Neurospora crassa OR74A: one gene and its partners. The protein of the gene in region 1 interacts with the protein of each later gene in a pairwise test. Links are inferred from orthologs where the notes say so. Each region holds a gene or a part of one and is shown on either strand. Other genes may lie near its edges.

Region 1 (4,364 bases):
GCAATCGTCTCACCATGGAAGATCAGAATGTGGAAGAAGGTATCGAGCAGGAGGATGTGGGTAGGCTGAATGGAGGTAGAGTCGAGCAGAACGGGGACACCGCCTTCTTGGTCGAAGGTGTAGGAGTCGAGCGTTGGTTGAATCATGATGAGCGAGTTACTAACATCCTCATGGTTGAGAACGTGCCGATAGAATGCGGTCTCATCGGGAGAGTTGTTAAAGACTTGCAAGAACTGACTCCTACGCAAGTGGAACATGAACTGTGGGTACAGCGTGAAGTTCTTTTCCAAGCGGAACGATGACGGGTCGTCCTTGCGGTAATCGGCAAATCTGGCGCAGAGCCTGATGAGCATGCGGTCAACCCACCGGAGCACATCAGGCCCATCGTCAACCTCCGCCTTGAAAACAGCGATACGCGACATAAGCACGGCTGCTGCCTCCTGGTCAAATGACTGCGCGATGGCCGGGTCTCCGGCGGGGCCGCTGAGGTTTCGGGCAATGGTGGTCACCCGAAGGTGGAAGTGGCCAGACGAGTGCTGGTAATAAGTCAAGAACTGCATCATTCCCTTTTGGGGACTCTGCATGTTCTGGGACGGGCCGCCTTGGTTGGCGATTTCGAAGTAGATACCGTAGCTGGAGCTGGGGTCGATACCGCACATCTTCCACGTGCAAGTGTTACCTATGCCGCACTCGGTTTCGCCGACGGACGTCGATTTTTTGTTGAGAGAGACTGCATGACCAATCAACCCAGTAACCTTGAGTTCCTTCGTTGTAAGTACTTCCAAAACCGCATTGAAGCCCATGAGCAGATTGTCATCCGCGTCCTTTTCGAAAATGCGGACGAATGACTGCTTGAACATGGATGAGGTGAAGCTGTCCGTCAGAATCATGTGGCCACCCGTCGAGTTGCACAGACCCTTCATTTCAAGTAGACCAACTTGATCAAGACAGCCGGCAAAAATGTCAATAGTGTGGCCGTTGTGCGCCGTTCGCTTAGCGAGGTTGTCGTAGAACTATAATAAATGTTAGCATGACACAGACTGTTTCCTGCACCACAACTTGAAGATGAACGTACCTTGAGTGCCTTCTTGTAATACTTGATGTTGTCACGGTCGATATCGTGATGGGAGCGGATCGGTTCCCTCAGCTCGGGGCCAACAACCATGCCAGGTCCCTCAGTGGCCGGACCACCAGCAAAGAGCATAATGCGACCACCGGCATTCTGGAACGACGTTTCGAGCAGGCCAACAGCTACGGACAACGCAACACCGGTGCAGCGCAAGGCTCTGAGGTTACCGGCAACAGGCCAGGGATCCTTCTGAAGCTGCTCAATGGCCTTGGTCAACTGGAACTCGGCCTGAGAGACCGGAAGCAAGAATCTTGAGGCAGGGCCGGCCGGGAAGGGCCTGCCAGGCTGTTGCATAGGCATGCCCGGACGCATGGCAGGTTGTACGAGCCCAAGCATCTCCTGGACCTGCTTGGCCGCGTACTCCTTGTTACCGCGGAAAACATATGATTTAGGGCACTCGGTATAGCCAATCTCGTGGACCTGGGCCATGGTGCCGTATGTAATCAGGCCGACAAGGGCGTGCTCGGGCAATAGGCTCAAGCTCATGATGAGCGACTCCTTGAGAGCAGCCAAGCTGTCCTCCTCCTGGCACGTATCGACGACATAGAGGAAGATCGGAGGGGCGGGGGCGGGCCGCGAGAGCCTGTACTCGATGGTAGTGTTGGAAGGGTGCAGCTCGGGTGGAATCGCATTTGCGGTGATGTCCTTGTAGTGTGGCGGGAGAGGATTCCTCGAGAGACAGAAGGGGCAGATCCACAGGCGGGCGCGCACATCGACTTGACTGGGCGAGGGTATCAGCAATGGGCGCGACAAGTCGGGGCGACGAAGATGGCTCACCAGTAGGGGTTTAACACGGAGCGGCAGGGCTGCTTGCAACTGACGGGGTCGAACTGCAGCAGAGGCGTGTCGGGCTTCTCCTTGAGAGGGGTATAAAGGGCGCCGATGGGGACGACGAGTCTCGAAGCTTCCTGAAGAAAGGGTCAGCGATAAAGGGGTGACGCGAAGTAGCAAGTATGCGAAAGAGCGGAACTGACCATGCGGGTGCTGGGGAAGACATTCCAGCTCAGACGAACGCCATCACGGTCCTCGACCTCGCCCCATTGCTCCTTGAGGGCTTCGTAATCCATGTTGATGTCGGCGGCGGCGTCCTCGGTCGATGGTCGCAGTCGGGGATAGAGAGGAACAGCTGGAGAGGGGTGATGGTGGTGTCGGCGGTTTGTTGGATTAGAAGATTAAGGGAATTAATGTGGATGATCCGTCGTCTACGCGGTGGTAGCTCCAGAGATAGGTACGGGGCGGGCGGCGGGCAACGGGCAACGTCGTCGGGCGGCTACGTGCAAGGTGTCATTAGCTCCGAGACCTGGAACGCACGAGACACTCGAGACATCCACCGTCCACCACACAGTCCACAGCAGCTGTCTTGCGGCAGGCGGGACCTGAGGCTAGATGTGGAAGCTAGGGGGAAAAGCGGGCTCCGTGCGAGTACATACCGCGGGGGGAGGCAATAAGGTATGGACGGGATCCCAGTTGTGGTGTGTCGCCAGGAAGATGCAACAACTGAACTGAAGAACCTCTTTTTCGACGCTCCTGAAAATTCAAGGTCCACTTTAAAGTGTTGACTGTCGTCCAGGAAGCCCTGCGCAAGATCACAGAGTTAACGACGCGCTGCTCTTCTGCAATCGGTCAAGTCGTTTGCGACAAGGTGATGGGATCAAAATGTTCAGAAATACCCCAATCGCTTCTACTGCAATGGAAGCCGACTGCAACAGGCGATAGTATCAATTTCTGATTTGCGGCTCTGTTGTCATTTGCTCCCCTCCAGTTGTTGAAAAGGACAGGTACCTCGTTCCCCTCCATCGAAAGGCAGGGGGCAGCTCTGCTGACAGACGACGGGAGGCTGCTTGCCAGCTGGTGCGTAGCCGACGAGCTGACGCCAATCACCACTTACCTCACCGTGCCACCGCGGCCGCCGTGGTAAACTGCATCTCCAAGCTGCAAGTTGCAACCTTTGTTCCGTCAGCACGAAATTGTCGGATGTACCAAGTGTTTTCCCGGTGCAGTGATGTTCCCGCGGCGTCGGATCATGAATGAAAAACAACATTGGCGAATCGCGACATCTCGACATGGAAATTGAATAGGTACCTATTCAGCATCGTATGCTTGCCCTCACCATCGACGCCTCGGGAGACGTCAAGCTTTGATTCCGTTACCCTTGGGCTCCAGTCATGATTCCGACCTGTGGCCGGCTGGCCGTTGAGTTTTGGCTAGCTCTGATTAGCCTGCTCGCATCTCTGTCCTAATGCTCGGTCTTGTGTCGATCCTACCACTCATGCCAGCATTTGGTGTTCTTCAAGAACCGTACCCTGCTCGCCCCATCCTGTTTCAGCCCACTGTGTCGAGCACGACCAAAATACCTTTTTGTGTTACCGTCGGGTTATCCTGAAGAATCCGCCTGTCGCGGGGGAACTCAATCAAACAACTCGCTCGCTCGCAGGCTCAGTCAGTCAAGCCAGCAGATGGTAAACTCGCGGCTGTGCTGCATCGCACAAACGCCCGCTCTCCGGTGATCACCCTCTCTGTTCTGAGCAGGCTCACTTTTACTTGTTACTCGACGAGTAGGGATCAGCCTTATCTCCTACTGTAGTGCTGACTTGATGCAACCCTTGGGTACGCTAAGATACGAAAGGGGCCGAGCAGCCGCCAGGTAGCAGTCAACAGGCACCATTGACAGTCCACGGTGATATTACCGTGGCTCACCTCTCCCGACCTCGTTTATAATTACAGTCGGATCCTATAGGATCATCACCTACCACCATGTCTCGATGGCGCTTCAGGGGAGCTAGCCCTTTTCGTGGGTAGAAAGCTGACACGCGTAGCATTTTGCTCAGAAATTTCTTCCTCCTCTCCCATTCTTCTCTTCTCTCTCTTGTTGCCCTCTGAAATCAGTCATCATGGTCAGGAGGTCGACTTCCCTTCTGTGCTGTGTAATACAGCCGTGGATTTGCCAGGCGGGTAGCACTATCACCCTACCCAAGGCAGATGAATCAATCATCCTTCCACGACAGGTTAACGGTGCTATCAGTCCCTCGACATTTCTGCGCAGAGGCTATCAATCGTGTGAGCATTGCCGTCATTGTCTTTTTCTCAGTGCATCATGACCATCTGGCTAATCGAACCAAAGCCGCGGTTTTAAACGGGCGCGTGTACATTGACGGCGGTGAGGTCTCGTACTACAGCGGTACTGACATCACCTTTCAATACTGTAAGACTCTCCACGCATTAACTCTTGAAACTA
Region 2 (4,214 bases), on another chromosome or scaffold:
ATACACTTTCCAAAAATACACCCAAGTCCCAATGATGCCATTTAACGCCCTAGCCATGCAATGCTTTTCTTTCCGGGTATCAACACAGAAACTCGCTTCTCTCCCCCCGACCCTTGCCGGGGAGAGTCCATTTGCTGAAGACGGACCAAGCAATGACCGATTTTATTGCGGTTTCGGTCCAGCCACATCTAGCCCCTCGAGGCCCTGCATAGGGTCATCAGGCGCAGTAGCAGCCAAACGATCCTCCTCACTGACGGCATTCTCAGCCAGCCATCCTTCCTGTGAGCCAGCGCATTAGTATGAGTCTAGGTATAAACTGTGATTCCCGATCATCCCCCATAGACGAAACTTACCTGCTCCCAAACGGCAGTCTTGGATCCCAACCCTTCTTTCGCGCTCTTAGGGATCTTTGCCGCCGAGACCCTGATTACTCTGCCAAACAGCTCGGACTGGTCCATGTTGTCAATGGCCTCTTTAGCGTCTTCTTCATCCTCGTACTCGACATAGGCGAAGCCCCTGTGCGGATCCGTTGAGTCGGGCTTCTCATTCTTGGGCAGCGAGATATCGGCGATCTCGCCAAAAGGAATGAAGGCGTCGTGAATGGTGGCTGTCGTCACGGCGGGTGCAAGACCGCGAATGTGGACGGTGGCTTTCCAGCGCGTAGTGTCTGTCATGATCGGTGTTGTTATGGAAACAATCAGTCACAGAAGTAAGACTTGAGACGCCTCTTGATGAAAGTGACTGTAGCTTCTGTGTACTTTCAGCCGAGGTTGAAGGTCTAACGTGTGTTGTGTTTTGACGAGGCTGGATGACTGCCGCAAAGAAAAGGATATCGTTGTTTTGATGAATTAAGTGTGATCCTTATCTTGGTGACGTCTCTTGTGAGTAATGACTGTCGATGTGTAGGTTATGTACAAAGATCATTCATGTGCTGGATGTCGTTAAGTAATAGCGAGTGAGACATGGGAGAAACGTTGAAGTTCGAAAAGTCGCGACCCCACTATCGTGACAGCGGGGAAGCTTGGGCCATCCTAGAAGTTCATGCACCAGGCGCTTGTACGTCATCAAGAAGGGGTTCTCCCACAGTTCGGTTTGAGGGCTTTAGGAAGCACAGGTAGAAATGGTGCTGATGATTCACACCAGAATATATAGCTATTTGGATATTGTTGAAGGATATGTGTATATATAGTCTAGTCACCACACCATGTGGATGGAAAGAGGTCACAGTTGTCAGTACGAATGTAGTGTAGGTTGAAAACGAAGGGTTAGGGTTTAACATCGATTGGCCCGGGCTCTCATCTTGCTGTTGCCCCTGAGCTGTGCCGTGTGGGTTGCATCAGCCTTGAAGCCAGCAAGAGGGAAAGTCCAGTGGTGCCAACGTCAGGGGCCGGGGGGGGCAGCTGTTATGTATCCGCAATCTGGCAACAATGGACGGGCAGACGGGAAGCTCACTGCTCCGAACGCCTCTAACAACACAGCAGCACTACCCGCCTCTACTCACTGTGACTTCGATCCCATCCATATCACAACCTCCCAACAGACCGACACGACACCGACCACAGACAGCCTCAATCGCGGAGGGGCTTTGGTCGTCGTCTTGTCTTGTTACTTCTTTTCATGTCCAACTGCACGACCTGACGATCTAGAGCTCTAATACCACCCACCCACCCCAACCTTAATTAATCCACGCCACCCGCACTCTCCTCCCACCCTTCGACCAAGGCGGCCAGCTTCAGCTTCCCCTGATTTCCCCTCTTTCGCCCACCGATTTACACCGCCCGCGTAGCCGCATCACCACCCGCGGCCGACATTCACATACAACATATAAACAATCATGGTCCGGTTGAGAGAGATCCCCCGGACTGCGGCCTTCGCTTGGTCGCCCGGCGCAAACCCCCTGCTCGTAACGGGTACCCGGTCAGGTGCCGTCGATGCCGACTTCTCAGACGAGACTAAGTTGGAGCTATGGGATCTCAAGTTGGACAGCCAGGAACAGGGCCTGGAGCTCCAGCCTATAGCTAGCATTACCGCAGAGTCCAGGTATGCGTGAGAGTTTCAACACATAGTTACCCTTCGGGCGCACTAACAGAGACGCATATAGGTTCTACGACATCGCATGGGGCCAGCCCAATGACGAACATCCCCGGGGAGTTATTGCCGGCGCCATGGAAAACGGCTCGTTGGATCTATGGGACGCCGAGAAGCTGATCGCCGGCGAGGACGCCCTCATCTCGCGCACCACCAAGCACACTGGTCCCATCAAGGCCCTACAGTTCAACCCTCTGAGGCCCCAAGTACTCGCTACTGCCGGTGCCAAGGGCGAGCTGTTCGTCTGGGATGTGAACGACACCTCGGCTCCCTTCCGCCTCGGCACCGCTGCCGCCCACGATATCGATTGCTTGGCCTGGAATCCCAAGGTCGCCAACATTCTGGCCACTGGTGGTGCAGGAGGCTTTGTTACCGTATGGGATCTCAAGACCAAGAAGGCATCTCTCACCTTGAACAACCATCGCAAGGCTGTCAGCGCCATTGCTTGGGATCCAGAGAACTCGACCAAGCTCCTGACGGCTTCATCCGATGATACCGCTCCCGTCATCCTGCTCTGGAACCTTCGCAACTCCCAAGCGCCAGAGAAGACGCTCCAAGGCCACGATCAGGGCATTTTGTCGCTTTCGTGGTGCCAGCAGGATGCAGGGTTGCTTCTTTCTTGCGGCAAGGACAACCGGACCCTGATTTGGAACCCTCAGACTGGAGAGCGTTATGGAGAGTTTCCTGAGGCTACCAACTGGACTTTTTACACCCGTTTCAACCCCCACAACCCGAATCTGTCGGCCACAGCATCCTTTGACGGCAAGATCGCTATCCAGACCCTCCAGAACACGAACCCCTCGGCGGCTCCCGCGGCCCAGAACAACCTTTCTGATGACGATTTCTTCTCAAAGGCCGCGTCCCAGCCGCAGGCGGCTTCCTTCTCTCTGCCCCGGGCACCCGCCTGGATCGAACGCCCCGTTGGCGTTTCCTTTGGCTTCGGTGGCAAGCTTGTCTTCTTCAACAAGGTGGAGACAGCTGCTGGCCAGAAGAGGTCTTCCAAGTTGCAGATCTCCTCTTTCTCCATCGACTCCGACATTGGCTCCGCAACCGACAAGTTCGAACAAGCCATTCAAAGCGGCGACATTGCGAGCATCTGCGAAGAGCATATCGAGAACGCCAAGACGGACGAGGAGAAGGCTGAGTGGCAGGTGATGCAGACCCTCAGTGAGTCTGATGGGCGGACCAAGATCATTGAGCGTCTTGGTTTCATCAAGGACGAGCCGGTCGAGGAGGCTAAGGAGGCCGAGTCACCCATGTCTCCTGAGCCGAAGCAGGAGGATTCTGCATCTCTGAAGCCTAACGGCGGAGAGGCCAAGAAGCATAGGCGTGTTGTAAGCATGTGGGGAGACGGCGACGATGGCGAAGATTTCCTGTCTGAGATCGCCGCTACCAAGGGAGCCAAGACCGACAACCCCTTTAACCTTCTGAGCGTGGGCAACACTCACCTGGAGGATCAGATCACCAGGGCCTTGATCCTGGGCAAGTTTGAGAAGGCGGTAGAGATCTGCTTGAAGGAGGAACGATGGTCGGATGCCTTCTTGATCGCCAACTGCGGCAGCAAGGAGCTTGTGGAAAAGGTTCAGACTGCTTATCTCCAACAGAAGAGAGGTAGCCCCAGCTATCTGCGGCTCATCAGCTCTGTTGTAGCCAAGAACCTGTGGGATATCGCCTACAACGCGGATCTTGCCGACTGGAAGGAGACCATGGTTACCCTTTGCACCTATGCTGATCCTTCCGAGTTCCCCGACCTCTGCGAGGCCCTGGGTGACCGCATCTTGGAGTCTGGTAACAGGAAGGATGCCTCTTTCTGCTACCTGATCGGCTCGAAGCTGGAGAAGGTTGTCGGTCTCTGGGTGGACGAGCTTCAGGAGACTGAGCAAGCTGCCTTGAATGAGGAGGCCGGTGATTCCACCTTCTCGGTCCATGCCAAGTCCCTTCAGCAGTTCATCGAGAAGGTGACCATCTTTCGCCATGTGACCAAGTTCAACGACAGCGAGACGAGTCTCACTGAGGGCTGGAAGCTGGCCGCTCTGTACGATAAATACCTCGAGTATGCTGACATTGCGGCTGCTCATGGCCAGTTGTCGGTTGCCCAGAAGTATCTCGATCTTCTGCCTACCAGC
Region 3 (4,421 bases), on another chromosome or scaffold:
TTTGAAGACGTCATTGTCCTTGGCGACCTCTTTTCTCCAGGCGTGCTCGAGAAGGTATGACAGCTCTAATACTCTGGCGCTCGAGTCGACGGGGATAAGGACGGTACCACCTCTGGCAATACACAGCTTGATCGACTCCATAAGTTGTTCGTCACGCTTGGCACGCGGTAGGGCGGCGTCTGGAGTACGACTGCTGCATACCAGGGCGGTTGGCTTGCGCAACTGCTCAATCACCTGTGTACCTCCGGCACCACCATGGTTTCCACCTAGCCAAGCAGCGCCGGCAAACACGTTCTCGCGGGCCTGGTTCCAGTCGACGGCGTAGACAATCGACTCCAAGCCATGCTGAATGTGCCATATGGTTCCTCCGAGGGTGCGGCCCGAGTTGTAGGCGGTAATGGTGAGTCCGTTCAGAGGCGGGGAGAAGGGCGACGGCAGCGGTTGATGTGGCTGAGAGTACTTTAACGGCTGGATTAGAGAAAAGTACTTTGTGATCTCTTCGGGAGTGGGTGGCTGGAGGAGGAAGGTGTTTTCGGCGGAGGCGGCCTGGGAGTATCCCGAGGCATACGACACTTCGGCGAGCGAGGCCGATGATATGGTGGTGGCGGCCAGGGGCGTCGAGGCATAGAGATCCTGTGTCAGGGTACGGCCGAGATCGATGACGGGGCGCGTCGCATAGACGGGAATGCGCTGGAAGGGTGGGAAGTGCTTGCAGCAGTGGGCGTAGGCGGCCAGATGGGGGACGGTGGCGTGGGTGAGGAGGATGAGGGACAGAGTCGGTGCTTGCTTGCCGAGCTCCTTGAGCTTTTCGACGTCAAAGGTCTCGTCCCAGCCGACATCGATCAGGATCTTGACGCCGCCGTCGAGCTCCAGCAGCGACTGGGAGGCTGACGAGTCGGAGAGGGCGCCCTGGAGCGGGCAGAAGCTGAACATTTTTCTTCAATTTGTTGTCGGACTACCTGTGGTGGTAAGGGTGGGAGCCGCCCAAGCACTCCATCAGACCGGAGGGTGTCTGAATGATGATGTAGGGTGTGGATGGAAATGTTGTTGTGATGATGTTTTGTTAGTGGAGTTTGTTGTTTGTTGTTTGGCGACGGGACGTTGAAAGCGCCTGCAAGAGGCTCTGTTGACCCATGCTGGATTGGCGGTTTACAGCCGAGAGATGCGGTTACAGGGCCCAATTGGACCATTCAGGGGGGGTTCCTAGGTAGGTAGTGCAGCACTACTTGTAAGTACTGTACCTCTTGAATGTATGAAAGATAGGTCACAGCTGGCTGCCAAGTGCCCATGTGATTGGCTGGCAGCCGGCAAAGCTTCCTCAAACCAAGGCGTTGTCGAACCTGCATTCCCTTGCTTCCACTTCTAGTGTACTTAGTACCTACTTTCAGGGGCAGCTTGGGGGGGCACATGCGCTGTTGTTCAGTGGACTGACACACCCGGCGATTGACACGGCAGCATCGCGGCCCCACTTTTCCATGGCTGGGCCCCGGGCGGGCTGCCTTCCACTTGCGCATGGAAACGAGAAAAGGACAGCTCGACATCCATGGTGACACTGGACTGGAGCGGTCCCGATAGAGCCAGATAACCTCCACCGGGGGAAACAACCACTGTCGCCCACTTTATATCCTCTGCCACTCCGATCCCCAGGCCTCAACCACTAACAACAAACTTCCACTTGGATGTACCTTAGTATGCGGTAGGTGATGCTTCGACGACATAGCTAGACACATCTGCTGCTGCTGGGCATGATCAACAACAACAATAACAACAAACTCCGATAACGACCGTCCTTCCACTTCTTGCTCTTCCCGACCTTGACCCGATCTCGATCAAGCTCCTTCGTCCGAAGAGGCGCCGCCGCCCCCCTATCTTCCATAATACCATAGCACACACGTATATACGACGACAGCAGCGACCACGAACAACAACACCACTCGACGACGACGACGACGACGACGACGACGACGGTGACATACTAGTCCTAATACAACCCTTCCCACAAACCAAACATGGCCGACTACACCATGTACCACGCCCTTGGTCAGGGGGAGACCCTCGACCCCAACGATCCCAACCGCACCACACAACCGGCGCCTCCCCAGTTCCAACCGCCAGTTGCCCCGAACCCATATCACCCTGGCGCCGAGTACAATGCTCCCGGTCAGCAGCAGCAGCAGCAGCAGCAGTATGGTCAGCAGTATGGTCAGCAGTACGGCCAGCAGTACGGCCAGCAGCAGTATGGTCAGGAATACGGCCATCAACAACAACAACAACAACAACAACAATACGGTGCCCCCTCTCCCTACGGCGCCCCTCCCGCGCATTCTCCCGTGTCGCCAATGGATGATGTAGGCTTGGCTGCGCAAATGGGTGGCATGTCTTTGGGTGCTGGAGCTGGTGCCGCCGATCACCACGGAAGAAAGAAAAAGAAGGACCGTCATGCTTTCCACACAGTCGAGGCCCCCGCCGGCTCGTCCCAGCCCTTCAACGGCATGCCCCCCGCCGGGATACCTGCAACCCAGTTCCTCAACGCCGACCCCTCCCTCGCCGGCAGGATACCAGGTCCGGGCCATGGCCAGTTCCCCATGCCCGCCAGCCCAGCTTTCGGCCCCGTCCCAACCTCTGCCGCCGACTTCGCCGCAAGGGACGCTACCCAGGGTGTTGGCTCCGGTGTCTTTGCTGCCGGCGGTCCTCAGGGCGGCAAGCCTTCGCCAGACGATACCCCCAGCGTGCCCCTTTCTCGCGACGCCGTCCAGCCTTACTTCCACACCAACGTATACCCAACCTTTGAGCGCCTCGTCCCACCCCCGGCTGTCACGTCCTTCGTTGCCCTCGACCAGGGCAACTCGTCGCCCAAGTTTGCCCGTCTCACCATGACCAACCTGCCGGCAAGCGCAGAGGGTCTCAAGAGCACCGGCTTGCCCCTGGGTCTTCTTCTCCAGCCCCTGGCCGAGACCCAGCCTGGCGAGCTGCCCATCCCCGTCCTGGACTTTGGCGAACAGGGCCCGCCACGCTGCCACAGGTGCAGAGCTTACATGAACCCCTTCATGATGTTCAAGGCCGGCGGCAACAAGTTCGTCTGCAACCTTTGTACCTATGCTAATGATACCCCTCCCGAGTACTTTTGCGCTCTTAGCCCCCAGGGCGTCCGCGTTGATCGCGACCAGCGCCCCGAGCTGACCCGCGGAACCGTCGAATTTGTTGTTCCCAAGGAGTACTGGACCAAGGAACCCGTCGGCATGCGCTACCTCTTCGTTATTGATGTTACCCAAGAGTCTTACAACAAGGGCTTCCTCGAGTCTTTCTGCGAAGGCATCTTGAGTGCTCTGTACGGTGGCTCGGAGGAAGGCGAGGACCAGGACGAGACCGGAGAGCCAAAGAGGAAGATTCCCGCTGGTGCCAAGGTTGGCTTCGTCACCTTCGACCAGGAGATTCACTTCTACAATGTCAGCCCCGCGCTCGAGCAGGCTCAGATGATTGTGATGCCCGACATCGAGGACCCCTTCCTGCCCCTGAGCGATGGTCTCTTTGTGGACCCCTACGAGTCCAAGGCTGTCATTAGTTCGCTCTTGACGCGCTTGCCCCAGATGTTCTCCAACATCAAGAACCCTGAGCCAGCCCTGCTGTCCGCACTGAACTCGGCTGTTGCTGCGCTTGAGAAGACGGGCGGCAAGGTCTTTTGCTCCCTTGCGGCTTTGCCCACTTGGGGTCCTGGCCGTCTCTTTATGAGGGACGACGGCAAGCACCCAGGTGGAGAGCCTGACAAGAAGCTCTTCACTACCGAGCACCCTGGCTGGAGGAAGTTGGCCGAAAAGATGGTTTCTTTGGGTGTTGGTGCCGATTTCTTCATGGCTTCGCCATCTGGCGGCTACTTGGATATTGCTACGATTGGCCATGTCTCTTCGACAACCGGTGGCGAGACCTTCTTCTACCCCAACTTTGTCGTCCAGCGAGATAGCACCAAGCTCTCCTTGGAGATCCACCACGCAGTCAGGCGCGAGACGGGCTACGCGGCCCTTATGAAGGTCCGCTGCTCCAACGGCCTCCAAGTGAACGCCTACCACGGCAACTTCATCCAGCACACCTTTGGCGCCGACCTCGAAATTGGCGTCATCGACGCTGACAAGGCTCTGGCCGTCACCTTTGGCTACGACGGCAAGCTCGACTCCAAGCTGGACGCACACTTCCAAGCCGCCTTGCTCTACACCACCGCTTCGGGCCAGCGTCGCGTGCGCTGCATCAACGTCATCGCCGGCGTCTCTGACCTAGCGCGCGACTGCATGAAGTATATCGACCAGGACGCCATCGTCTCGATCCTGGCCAAGGAAGCCAGCACAAAGCTCTCCACCACCAGCGCCAACCTCAAGGAAGTCCGCTCCTCTCTCACGGAAAAGACCATCGACATCCTTGCCCTCTACCGC

The links.
Region 2: the proteins of NCU01318 (region 1) and NCU06738 interact in binary tests that used the Saccharomyces cerevisiae proteins (3 or more experiments, as listed by UniProt). The link is inferred for Neurospora crassa OR74A from reciprocal best matches to the Saccharomyces cerevisiae genes SEC23 and SEC31.
Region 3: the proteins of NCU01318 (region 1) and NCU06868 interact in binary tests that used the Saccharomyces cerevisiae proteins (3 or more experiments, as listed by UniProt). The link is inferred for Neurospora crassa OR74A from reciprocal best matches to the Saccharomyces cerevisiae genes SEC23 and SFB3.

What each region holds. Positions count from the first base shown.
Region 1 is NC_026505.1:3,643,781-3,648,144, forward strand, and holds the start of NCU01318 (protein transporter sec-23), read right to left. Parts: upstream 2,877-4,364; 5' UTR 2,560-2,876; intron 2,400-2,559; 5' UTR 2,197-2,399; coding exon 2,104-2,196; intron 2,038-2,103; coding exon 1,907-2,037; intron 1,851-1,906; coding exon 1,076-1,850; intron 1,014-1,075; coding exon 1-1,013. Other genes in the region: NCU01319 (hypothetical protein), read left to right, coding at 4,021-4,186, 4,251-4,331. UniProt on the Saccharomyces cerevisiae protein: Component of the coat protein complex II (COPII) which promotes the formation of transport vesicles from the endoplasmic reticulum (ER).
Region 2 is NC_026502.1:2,091,198-2,095,411, forward strand, and holds the start of NCU06738 (protein transporter sec-31), read left to right. Parts: upstream 1-1,411; 5' UTR 1,412-1,834; coding exon 1,835-2,040; intron 2,041-2,101; coding exon 2,102-4,214. Other genes in the region: NCU06739 (peptidyl prolyl cis-trans isomerase Cyclophilin), read right to left, coding at 163-279, 354-674. UniProt on the Saccharomyces cerevisiae protein: Component of the coat protein complex II (COPII) which promotes the formation of transport vesicles from the endoplasmic reticulum (ER).
Region 3 is NC_026507.1:587,778-592,198, reverse strand, and holds the start of NCU06868 (Sec23/Sec24 family protein), read left to right. Parts: upstream 1-1,576; 5' UTR 1,577-2,009; coding exon 2,010-4,421. Other genes in the region: NCU06869 (cleavage and polyadenylylation specificity factor), read right to left, coding at 1-933. UniProt on the Saccharomyces cerevisiae protein: Component of the COPII coat, that covers ER-derived vesicles involved in transport from the endoplasmic reticulum to the Golgi apparatus.